3 separate regions of the Mus musculus genome follow, and regions 2 and 3 are each reported to be linked to region 1. Evidence: microRNA targets listed by miRTarBase, many of them from high-throughput screens and not tested one by one. Region 1 holds a microRNA gene; each other region holds the end of a gene's coding sequence.

Region 1 (4,245 bases):
TTTTAGTGAAGTGGCTGTCTTCTCTGTAGAAAGTAGTCTCTAAAAGCTGTAGTTCCACAGCAACCTGCTGTCAGTCCCGGCTTCCGTTCACAGACCTCATCAAAGTCCACGTAGTAATTTCATTCTCTGTGAGGTTTCCAGTTATGAAAGTACTAGGAGGTATTTCGTTAGTACAATATTGGTAGATTTTTCACATTTTTAACTTCTTGTGAGTTTTATTTCTAGTACAATAATTTCTAGAATATTCTATATCCTTGTTACATTTCAATATTGCCCTCACTAAGTTCACCTATATTTAATTACTTGATTAAATTTAAAAAAATAATTGTGTAAGTCTAATATGACTGTGTGCTCATAGTTCCATCATACAGTTGAGCAAAAAGAACTCTGAGTTGCAAACATTTGGATCAGGAATTGAAGAGATGTTTTAAAATAATCTAACTAATTCTCTACAGATGGCCCATCCTTCAAAGCAACGGCAGGACCCAGCAGACAGATTTTACAAGGTATGACAAGCAGTTGTGGCTTTCTTAATTTCATGAAGCTGGCTTCATGGTAAAGTTGCCTGGAGTTCTCTTTTAAGGAAATATCTGTAGATGGTAACAGTATTGTAAGTGTTATCCTTCCTAATAAATGCGTGCGCGCACATACACTCACTCACACATGCACACTTATACTTTGTGTTAGGTATATTAGCGATATTTTGCCACTTGTCTATTTTCTCAGATTTAATTTTAAAAATACAAGAAATTGACAACCCCGGCTGAAGGTAAGTACTGGCCTGACTATCGTGAGTCCAAGGTAGCGTGTTCGCTTCCCTGGATTATTACAGTCATGAGTTCAGGGTAGCCTGTCTGCTTCCCTGGATTATTACAGTCGTGAGTTCAGGGTAGCCTGTCTGCTTCCTTAGATTATGACAGTTTTTCCAAGAGTAACGTTCAATATGTTCTTAAATTGTAGAGCTAAGAATGAAGTCCAGTGAGACCTTTCTCATCTGTGAAAGCATCAATTACTGATACCTAAACAGGAGCTTAGTGTTCCGTAAGTGACAGCAGCTAGAGAAAACTCTGTCTCTGAACTCTGGTACTTTCCTCTGGGTTATAACCCAGTCTTTCACAGTTTCCCCTAGACTGTATTGTCAAAGCTTTTAAGTTCTAACCTCCCTGCTCCTAGCTTTTTAAAGCCGACGTTGGTCTGGTTTTCTCAGTGGCTCCAGATCTAGCCTCTCCTGCATGTGTTTTGTTCTACTGCTTCTGGGTTGAGTTCTTGCTTCTTGTGTTTCTCCATTACTGAAGAGATCACTATACTGAAGGCTTAGGCTGCCTTCTGTCACCAGGTTTCCATTTTCAAAATATATGGCATTGCTTTTAAAAGCGTCTTTGTACATTTTTGACATAGCCGTATGAAGTGCTATCATTGGCTTTGATAATAATTTGTATTTAGTTATGAAAAATCATCATAAATGGCAGGAAGAAAAGCTCGATGTACCCTTTTATTCCTATTTCTGAACTACATGAGTTTGTTGGTCTCAAGAGGGCCTGGAGGAAGCTGCTGGGCAGCTGTGACTGCCTGATGTAAAAGCTCTGCTACCCAAGAGCTCTTCGGACACTCAGCACATGAGCCCCTCCAGCTAATGTGGCTTTCAGTTGTTGGCGCATCTTCAGCTTAGTGAGCCAGGTTTTAGATACGTTAGACCATTGGTGTGTTGCAATGTTGGAGGGTCTCGATCTTATGTGACTTAAACAGACTTTATGTATTTCCTCAGAGATTTTTCTTCATGAATAGTTACTATAAAAGAGTAATGATGTGTGCTAATGAGACCCACTTTCTGGTTAGGATTACATGGAGGCAGGGACTTTCCAGCATCAGAAAAATGAATAACAGATTATTTTCACCATTTTTTTTTCATTTTTATTTCTGTTCGTACCAAAACACTAATTGGAGAATATAGAAACTTAAAACTATGTTATTACATTTAGGAGTTTGTAATGTAGGGATTTCAATTGTATTGATTTATATCCATCTTTTTCATTTTTTTTTAGTTTTTGAAACCAAAGTGTTTTTGATACATATATATGTATATATATATATTATTCTTTGGTATTTAAAGTACAATAGAGAAGTTGGTTATTTACAAGTATTTACCAGTGGAAATACACATTTCATTTTTATCTGCCCAAATGAATACCATTTGTTACAGAACAACTCAGGGCTGGTGAGGTACCTGTATAAGGACACATGCAGCCAAACCTGACAGCCTGGGTTCAGTCTTCAGGCTCCACGTGGTAGAAGGAGTAAGCCAATGCCCTCTGCACATGTGCTGTGGGATGCACATACATTTACACACACATCCACACACAAATGTAAAGATCTGCAGAGTGGTCTGCACAGAGTGAAAGGCCCGAGTGCCCTTTGCTGCGCCCTGCTCTAAGTCACACGGTGGCAGGGGAAGTGTCTTTTCCCAGCAAACGTTAAGATTTACTGTGACTCAGTAGTGCTCAAATTTTAAGCTGCTACAAAGTTTCCTTCAGTTTTAATTGGCACACATTTACCTTTGATCGTTCAGGGAATGTGACGTGAATTTCTAAGCTGGTCGCATGTCTGCCATCTTAACCAGTGCCCTGCAGGGCAGCTGTGCTGAAGGCCGGTGGTTTATGGCTTTTCTTTGTTTTTGTTTTTATTGGTACCTATGTTTATAGATTGCTTTGCTGTGTGATAAATTTTATTTATTAAAGATCTACATATTGAGTGAGTTACTGTCTTAGGTAGTTTCAAAAAGAGTTGCATATATAATTTCTTTCTTGAGATTTTTATGGTTTTCCAGGCCAATATCACTTATGAATCTTAATAGTCCTATATAGTCCTTAATAGTCTACTATGTCCTACTTAGTACTTAATTTCAAAGGTTCAACATGTATTTTCTTGTCCTAGTCAGGTAACTGCTTTTTTGCTTGGTGTATTTGAGGATAATAACAAATTTAGGTAGTGGCATGTTTTGGATAATTAATGTCAGGTTAAGTCGAGTTAGGGTTCATATAAAATTTTATTCCTTAAGCAGTATTTTAAATCACCAGCAGAGGGCTCTATGTGTTCATGTATTCAAAATTAAATTGCTTTCTTCATCTTTTTTTTTTAAAACCTGATGCTCTTTTCTTTCCAGAACAAATTATTTAACCTTTTTTAAAGTAAGAGTGAATGTTCACAGACAGCATTTAAAACTAATTTTCTCTACTCCTTCACTTTCTTTTTCTTTTTTTTTAACTCCTTCACTTTCACTGTTCTGTTAAGATTGAGCATAATTTACCAGTTAGATGTTTAAACTGGTCAGTATGAAAACAGTTATGTCAGTTTATAAATATTCTGCTACACAGTTACTACTGTACTTCTCCTGACTGATTTTTTTTCCTTGATATGTAAGATATTTTAAGTATAGTCCTGAGAAATATTCCCACTTGAGTATTCTAATCTCTCCTATGCTTTCTTTCTAGGTGTATTTTTACACATTCTAGCCGATACACTGGGAAGTATTGGTGTAATTGCCTCTGCCATCATGATGCAAAATTTTGGGTTGATGATAGCAGATCCTATCTGTTCGATTCTTATAGCCATTCTTATAGTTGTAAGGTAAGTGGTTCAGACTGCTACCATCTGTTACTAAGTGAGAGGGAGGTGACAACAGAACCAGTGGCTGGGCACCTTCAGTGCAGATTATCATGTGGGGTTCCCTTTGCTCTTTAAAACAAGTCCTATCCAAGTTCTCCTTATAGCTTTTCCCATTTATATCTTGCCTGGAGTTTTAACATTTCTTTTTGATTTTTGACATTTAAGTAGTTGATCATAATTCAAATCTTAAACCATACACTGTATGTATAGAATAAAATCTTGGCAATGTAAAGTCATTAACTAGACGATTTTAGTTTATATCTAGAACTGACAATGTCAAACCCTGGTATCAGTGTTGCCCCTGCCAGACCCATCTTTAATTCTGCCATTTCATTGGTCTTTTCGCTTGCTCACCAGCCACGGAGCTGGTGGTCTATGAAGACTGTAGGGAGGTCCATCTGCAACGACCACTTGCTGCAGTGCATTGTGTAGTTAATATTATCTTCTAAAATCCTTTGTCCTAAAACACACTTTATTGTTGGCTTCATTTTTATTTTAAAACACTAGAATTATATTCCTTTATCTTGCTGCATTTGATCATTTTAAATTTTGCATAGTGTGTCTCAGTTGGAGCATTATCAT
Region 2 (4,245 bases), not on the chromosome of region 1:
GAGACCCTAACAGCTTTTTAAGAGGATTTTAAAATTATGTTCATGTCTGTGTGCATGTGAGTGTGGTATAGACCAGAAGAGTGTGTAAGATCCCCTAGAACTAGAGATATATGGGTTGCAAACCACCTGATGTGGGTGCTGGGAATTAAACTTGGGTCCTCTGTAAGAACAGTATATACTCTTAACTGCTGGGCATCTCTCCACCTCTTCTGTAATCCCATGCCAGCAGAAATTTTTAGGGAAATGGCAGTTTTCTATATTTTGATTTTGGTTGAGTTTCATTACACAAAATGATCAAGTAGACTATGGATAAAAATCCATTAAACTATACAGTTAAGATGATGAAGATGGGACTGGTACCATTATGTAAATCTTAGATCTTAATCTGTGGTCAGAATATCACAAACATATAAAATGAAAACACAGACGTGTGATCTTATTATTTGGAAATCTAGAACTAATTGTGAGAAATATATGAGTGTTTAGAAGTAGAAGCCTTTTGGAAGGTTGGGAATCAGACTTAGTAGTAAAGATGGTAGTCAATCATGTTTTTGCTTTGATAAATATCAAGATTATGGCTTTTTTTAAATATTTATTTTACTCATATGAGTACACTGTTGCTGTCTTCTTTTTTTTTTTTTTAAAGATTTATTTATTATTATATGTAAGTACACTGTAGCTGTCTTCAGACACACCAGAAGAGGGAGTCAGATCTTGTTACGGATGGTTGTGAGTCACCATGTGGTTTCTGGGATTTGAACTCTGGACCTTCGGAAGAGCAGTCGGGTGCTCTTACCCACTGAGCCATCTCACCAGCCCCCTGTTGCTGTCTTCTGACACACCAGAAGAGTGTATCAGATCCTACGACAGTTGGCTGTGAGCCACCCTGTGGATGCCAGGAATTGAACTGAGGACCTCTGGAAGAGCAGCCGGTACTCTTAACCACCAAGCCATTTCTCCAGCCCCAAGATTATGTTTGTTTGTTTGTTTTTAAGCAAAATGTTTGAAATGAAGGGGTGCTTCAGTCTAGTAGAGAAAAAGGTTTGAAATCCTAAAAGAATCCAAAACCAATAGAAATTAACTAGCAGCTATTGGTTCTTCTTATTTTCCATTCAATGCAATTAGAACCTTCTAGGTGTCAGAAACTCCACCAAACCCATAGTTCCATCCCACAGTCTAGGTGATTTTCAGTAAGGCCCCGAGGGAAGGACATTGTTTGTAAGCATCTGTAGATGTCAAACAAACCGTGTCAAATCTGAAAAGTATGTTGTTTCCCCCAAAGAATGTACACCAGCAACATGGCAGACAGACTGGGCTATTTCATTTGCTGAGCTATGCACTATGATTCTTGAGTTCTTCTTTACGGCTGCTAGATTTCAACAATTTCTTTTCACATCTATTGTGTGTGTTTATGCACCCAAGCCTGAGTGTGTAGAGGCCAGAGGATAACATGATAGAGTTAATTCTCTCTCTGTCATGTGGGTTCCAAGGATGGAACTGAAGTCATCAGGCCTGGTGGCAAGTATCCATCTCACTGGCTTCCTTCACAACCCTTGAACATGCATCAAATGGTTTGTTAGTTCCCTCCAAAAGACAAAACTGAGCTGTTGTGTGGAAGCACACGTAAACTTAGCAAAGATACCAAGAGCCAGCCTAGAGATCAGTTTTGAGAAGGAAGGGCCTTGGGGTGGAGTGGGATTGGGCCTGCAGTCACGGGAGCTTTGGAAGGAGTTCTAGATTCCGGCCTGCCTGTGCATATACAAGCATTTGCAGCGTAACTCTACTAAATTAAGTATCCATTTTTTTTTCTGCATTTACAACAAAACTTTTACTAGATTCAAACAATGTGAATGCCTATGAATGGGGGCTATCTAATTATAATACTAATCACTATGTGCCATTGGAAATGAAACCACTCAGCTTCCATATGCTTATAAGGGTCCAGTGTTTGATTGTAACCTAAAATGGCAAAAGCCAAGTTAGATACAGTACCAGATATAAAACCACACACAGACATAATACACATAGAAAACAATATATTTAATATCTTATGTATAACAATATATATCTCTAGAAAATGTTATCAATCTGTAGAGTAGACAAGGACGCTTAGGCATTGCAGAGGGGCAGAGCAACAAGAGACATCATCTATTTTTTGAATCATACACATTAGTTTAGAATCAAATGGCAAAGATTATTTTGAAAACACTTGCTTATGGCAAGGTTCATTCCAGATTTTGTGCTGGACTACTTTGCTGCAAAGAACTTCAGCAGAGAATAGGCACTGAGTAGCTAGCTAAGGAACAGACGCTCCTTATTTAGCTGTTTGGGTTTTTGGTACTGAGGCGAAAGTCCAGCTCAGCACCACAGGCTGAGTTTATGTTCCACCGTGCAGCCATGCCTCTTAGGGGCCACAAAGAATATTTTAAGTTTGTTTGAGAGAGGGTCTCACTATGTCACCTGGGCTGCCCTCAAACTTACGATCAAACTTACTGCCTCCACCTCCTGAGTTCTGGGATTACAGGTGTGCACTGCTATGCCCAACAAAGCTTTGCTATTGAAATTGTTACTGAGGATTGAACCTCTACATCCTAAGCAATACTCTCAGCCATTGAGCTCTGCCCCCAACCCATCACAAAGACTCTTAAACAAGAATTCCTCATAGATGAGCATGACATGGAGAGATAACAATGAATAGAACAGCATCTTAGCCCTTGTGGAAGGAGAAGTCACTTAGGAGAAAAAGGAGAGGTGGATCCCACTCTTTTCCTATGTCCGTTTGTTTTCTGTTCTTTATAAATAGGATGAGGTTGAGCCTCTTGTTTTTAACAAGTCACAAATCTAGAAAACCCATCTTAAAAAAACAAAAAAACCAAAAACTAAACAAAATTTTAAACACTTCTTTGGTAAAGTATTCAACTTCACACGTCCACAGCTCTTCAGTCTTCTTTCTGTTCCTTCATTTTCAGCTCCCAAAAGGCATAGATGAAATGCTAAGTTTACATGCATAAGCCACAATAAGGCCCCTTCAGACCGCCCTGCTGAGGGGTCAGATCAGAGGAATCTTGGTCAGAGGCATCAGAGAACATTTTGCCCCAAAACCAAGTGCTTTTTAAAAAACAAACAAACAAACAAACAAACTTTTTTCCTTTTCCTTTCTTTCTCTTCTTTCTCCTCCTCCTCCTTTTCCTCCTCCTCCTCCTTCTCCTCCTCTTCCTCTTCCTCTTCCTCTTCCTCTTCCTCTTCCTCTTCCTCTTCCTCTTCCTCTTCCTCTTCCTCTTCCTCTTCCTCTTCTTCTTCTTCTTCTTCTTCTTCTTCTTCTTCTTCTTCTTCTTCTTCTTCTTCTTCTTTTGTGGGGGGAGGTGTTGAGACAGGGTCTCTCTACATAGTCCTGGCTCTCCTGGAACTCAGTATGTAAACTCGGCTGGCCTTGAACTCACAAATATCCAACTGCCTCTGTCTCCTGAGTGCCGGGATTAGAGACTTGTGACATTACACCTGGCACGGTGACTTTCTATTCCTTATGGAGGGTAAACACACTGGCATTGTCAACAGCTTGAGTGAGAAGACCTTGTCTACTGCTTGTCACAATTGATTCCAACATTCCTCTCAGGCTATGCTTTGAAACCCGTCTTCTAAGAAAATTCTGCCAAGCCCTTTAACAAATCACGACTGGGAGAGAGAAGGGGAGCTTTGAGTTATCTTAAAGAACAGAAGTTTAGGAGCATCTCATTGTTGAAGTGATCTAAGCCCATGCATGCCATCTCTTCGTCAAAATCCCACCTGTTGCTCTTGCCGGGCAGTGCATGTTGCTGCTGAGTAGGAGAGCCATAGGTGAGCAGGAAGGGATCCTGCTGAGGTGGGTGGTACGTGAGGGAGGGCACATAGCTGCTCAGATCCACAGATACTTTCTCTTCGTAAGGCTCACCTCCCGGATTGGACCACAAGGGATGACAGCCTGGTTGAGCTGCAGGGGGTTCTGATGGAACTTGCTGGGGTAAGTGCTCCAAAGAGTTCTGGGAGGGAAAGTAGTCGTAGGGCCAGCTGGCCACAGGCAGAGGATAGGCTGGATAGTAGATGTCATCGGAGGGATTTCTCCCTAAGGCAACATTTTTATTCCAAGTTTGCAGGTCTTCGTAGTCTCCATACGTCCCAGGGACAGGAGGCTGAAACTGCTCTTCACTGCCGTAGATCCTACTGCTGGAGAATTTGCATCTCTCATAGAACTTCATGGAATCTAAGGTG
Region 3 (4,245 bases), not on the chromosome of region 1:
CTTTAGCCTCCTCACAGCTGGAATTATAATACTCACACACACACATAACCCTCTGGTCACTTACTTCTCTAGCATCATTGATTTATGCTGATTCCAGGCTGATAATAGTTCATCCCATGAGTCTGTCAATGTGTGTAGAAATGTAAACAGTGAGGTGCCACACAGGAAGAGTCGTGAGTTCAGTCGGAACTCAAACACACAGTGTTGCCTGTCATTGGCATGGATTCAGCACAGGGTCAGTGCGCCCAAGACTTGCTTTTCTCTCTGCCCCAGCATGCAGAGGGCCGGGGTGTCATCTCCATCACCACAAAGATACTTATAATAATGATCATGATAACCAAGAAACTCAAACGTTGATCTAACACAGATAGTATATGAAACTGGTAACTTAATATTATGCTTTTTATAGTCTAGCATCCTGGGTATATTAAATCATAAAGAATAAAATGCTCTTAACCTTTGTTTTACTTTTAGTGGAAATTTAATGGAGCCACCATTTCAGAGCCAAAAGAAATTTGGGACAAACTTTACAAAGCTGGAAAAGAAAACTATCCGAGGAAAGAAATACGATTCCGATTCTGATGATGACTAGACTGTGCTGTACTTTAAAACCTTCCGTCTGTCTGTCTGTCTGTCTGTCTACTTCAGAGTTAAGTGTGTTTTCTAAATTCCTAAATTCCACTGATTTCGGCCCATTGACCATCTGACACTCTTATCCCAGCCTGTACACTGTTTGACCATTTTGTCTGCAGTCATTGTGTATAACTTGAGAGAAACATACTTTAAATTACCTGGGAGGGTCTGAATTCTCTATTTTTGTGATTGATTTTATCATAACGTGATTCTTCTATCTTCAAACCATTCACATGTCTGTTTTTAATCTCCTGAGTTAGAGATAGGAATTTGCCCACTATTGTAAGAGCCAATGAGTGACCATCCACTGGGCACCACATGCACTTCCTTGTCCGTGATCCGCTTCGTGGAATGGGTTTCAGGAACTGTTAAAGACTCACTCATGGTGACTCTGCTGATGATAGCGGCAGGAAACCCAGGGTGTGAGCACATCGCCTTATTTAAATAGTCCTCATTGCACACGCACATTATGAGACCTGCAAAAATATAATTAAACCGTTTTTGAGTGGTAACATAAGGAACTCCATTGGCTGCTCAGTAAAACAACTTTAGCAAAGGTGAAATTTCTAAAAGTGTGAGTCTGGAAACTATGAGATCATATAGCAAACAAAAACATTTTAAAAAAAATATAGGCCATGTGCTTAGCATGAACAGAAATAATCTGATGCCCAGAAATAAATAAGCCTTGGTAAGAAAAGAGTATAGCATCAACTACTGAGATGGCTCAATGGAGAAAGGCACTTACCACAAAACTTGGGGACTGGGCCCACTGGTGGAAGGAAAGAAAAGATTCCTGCAAGATGTCGTTTAACATACACAATACAGGAAATACAAATGAGTTGAACTACAGGGGTCTTGGGGTTTGAGAGCAGTCTAAAACAACACAAAGGGGCTGGAGAGAAGGCTCGGCAGTTAAGAGCACTTGAGATGGCTTCCTGGCACCTACATGGTGGCACACAGCCATCCACTAGCTCCCATTCTAGGACTCTGATGCCTTCTGACCTCCAAGGCCACCAAGCACAGCAGTGCTCAGTGGTGAGGGGTTCCTTCAGGTAAGCCAGGCTGTTCTGGTGAATTGACACACCCACCTTCCAAGAAGCCCACCAGATGTGGGCTTTGACGAGGCTGTTTCCTCCAGACGAGTTTGCAGTAGAGAGGAATCCCATTTGTGTTACTGCGACTGAGAAGGCAGGATCCAGGCACCACCTTGAGAGGGAACTGAGCCACACTTGGAGTCTGAGAATGGAGAACAGCCATCCAACAGACAACCTAGGAGATGGTTATGGAGAGTGGGAGGGCTACGTGCAAGAGACAAGTTAGGGCAGTACAGTGCACAGGGAAAAACCCTGCCCTGGATGCCAGGACCAGATTACATCAAGAATAAACGTGCCTGTAGCCCTACTCCTGAGGTCATCGGGTGGACCGGCTGGTGATGTTATCTAGGTAGCGGTACGGCCACAGATCCTGAAGACTGCAGCACCAGCAGGCAAGCTCCCATAGCTACATTCTTCCAGCAAGACAAAAGCAGAGACAATGTGATGTCTCGGTTGCTCCCACACTCCCAGTGCACTTGGGAGACCACCACAGCAGCCTATCAGCCACTTCTGGGGATCCAGTCCAAGAATGAAAGCCCATAGGCTGCAGAGCTAAGTGCGGCCAGTAGAGGACGCTACTACATAAAGGTGGGAAGCTATTCAAGTGGAGCCAGGTCCTGTGGGAATCTGACACTTGCCAAACAGGGCTTAACCTTAGAAAAGAGCCCTGGTTCAACAGCCTTCACCATCACATCAGCCCCTGAGACTCCCCTTGCCCTTCTTTCTTTGACCTTCTGGCCTACCCTTGTATTTAACTTTTGTTCAACTCATAGCGATTCTTTTATCCTGGTGTTACTCATCTCATCATGAAATACTTCATTTTGGTTATGCATTTTTTTCCACTATCTGGCGGTATTTTTTTCTTTTGTTCCTCTCAACTAGACTTTCAGCAGTATTTAACTTTGTCTTACTGGGGATAGTCTTTACTTTTTTGTTTTAAAAATCTCATGTTTCTATTTTGTTCTTTACTTGAGGGGGAAGGTTGGGACGGGGACTTTCTACATTGCCCTCTGTAGGCCAGGCTGGCCTTGAACTAGAGATCTGCCTCCGGAACTTGTGAACTAAAAGGCAGTGCTGAACTCCCCTTCTTAACATTTATCTAATTTTGAGTTTTAATTTAATTATTTAAAAATCTGGAATTTTTATTATGTATTTTTATGTATTTTTTCTATTCTACTCTCTCTTTTCCCTTCCACGACATTCTTCTCTACCACTTCTCTTTAACTTTTGGTTCATTTACTATTATTTCTCTATTTCCCTTCTTTTTTATCTCATTCATTTGCTAATGCTACATTGACCCTAAATAATTCTTAATTTATAAAATTCTATAGTACATGCTCCCGTTCTCTGTTTGATGGTCACGGGTGGTGTACTAATGGACTTTATTTTAGGTGTATTTCTATCTGTGGCTGTTGCCACTACAGTAGCTCCCTTTCTCAGTACAGGGCAGTAGTAGGGACTGAGCCCCAAGAGCGAGTTGCTTACTAAGATTTGCAAGTAAAACCAGGAGAGAACCAAACCAAAGATGTGCCAATTTTATCAGAGAAACAACAGATGTATGGGGTGTGGGTGCAAGCAAAATAATATGATTATCAAGAATGTAACTTTATATTCATTATTTTTAAAAGGTGGAAGATTTATGTCAGCAGAAAAGGAAGCAGCGTAGAATTAACAGTTTTTATGTTTGTGTACATGTGTGTATATACACATGTGTGCATGTGTAGAGGTCAGAAGACAACTCCACTATGTGAGTTCTTTTTTAATGTATACAAGTACACTGTTGCTCTCTTCAGATACACCCAGAAGAGGGCACCCATTACAGATGGTTGTGAGCCACTATGCGGTTGCTAGGAATTGAAGTCAGGACCTCTGAAAGAGCAGTCAGTATGCTTAACCACTCAGCCATCTCTCCAACCCCCCCCCACTCTGTGAGTTCTAAGGGTTGAACTCAGGTCATCAAGGTTGGCCCAGTGGGTAAAGCTGCATGTTGCCATGCCTGACAACCTGAGTCTGATGCCCTGACCTTCTGCACTGATCAGTAATCTCAGTGTACCCCTAGGATCAGAAGCAGACAGAGGACTCTTCCAGCTAGCTTGCACACACTGGTGAAGAACCCCTTCCTCACACAAGGTAGAAAAGGAAAGGCCAAAACCCAATGGTTGTCCTCTATACTCCAGGCACATACTCACCATGTCCACACAGAAGAACATGCATACACACAAGTTTCCTTAATCCCCCAAGGCCCCGATACCAAAACTGGTTAAGAACACAACAACAAAAGAAGTTACAGGTCACTTCACTTGATGTACATAGAAACGTTCTCCATAAAATGCATACAAAATCATATTGAAGAGATACTAAGATCAAATGTCATAGCGCAGTTGGTTTTGCCTGAGGAAAGGGAGGTTTAAGCAAAAATAAAGTCAATCAATCAATCAATGTTATGCCCCATGGGCCTGAGGAAATGGCTCAGTGGTTAAGAGTGCTCAGAGCTCTTGCAAAGGACTCTGCTCTGGCT

Evidence for each region. The annotated mature microRNA mmu-miR-669n reads AUUUGUGUGUGGAUGUGUGU and lies in region 1 at 2,344-2,363, opposite strand. An mRNA with a match to its seed (bases 2 to 7 or 8) in the 3' UTR can be bound and repressed. Matches are read on the target gene's strand: a 7mer-m8 pairs with bases 2 to 8, a 7mer-A1 pairs with bases 2 to 7 and ends in A, and an 8mer does both.
Region 2: the mRNA of Gcm1 is a reported target of mmu-miR-669n. Seed matches in the 3' UTR shown: 7mer-A1 at 3,349-3,355.
Region 3: miRTarBase lists Txndc9 as a target of mmu-miR-669n. Seed matches in the 3' UTR shown: 7mer-A1 at 1,379-1,385 and 7mer-m8 at 1,515-1,521.

What each region holds. Positions count from the first base shown.
Region 1 is chr3:115,978,023-115,982,267 of GRCm38, reverse strand. It overlaps Mir669n (microRNA 669n), which reads right to left and starts at 2,366; the gene lies at 2,313-2,366. Slc30a7 (solute carrier family 30 (zinc transporter), member 7) reads left to right here. Exons shown (of 11, transcript NM_023214.7): 7 at 456-506; 8 at 3,489-3,624.
Region 2 is chr9:78,064,543-78,068,787 of GRCm38, reverse strand. It overlaps Gcm1 (glial cells missing homolog 1), which reads right to left. Exons shown (of 6, transcript NM_008103.3): 6 at 3,164-4,245. The coding sequence ends at 3,699. Among named protein-coding and RNA genes, the nearest start is that of Gcm1, 15 kb to the right of the region's middle.
Region 3 is chr1:37,984,009-37,988,253 of GRCm38, reverse strand. It overlaps Txndc9 (thioredoxin domain containing 9), which reads left to right. Exons shown (of 5, transcript NM_172054.4): 5 at 475-4,245. The coding sequence ends at 592. Among named protein-coding and RNA genes, the nearest start is that of Txndc9, 11 kb to the left of the region's middle.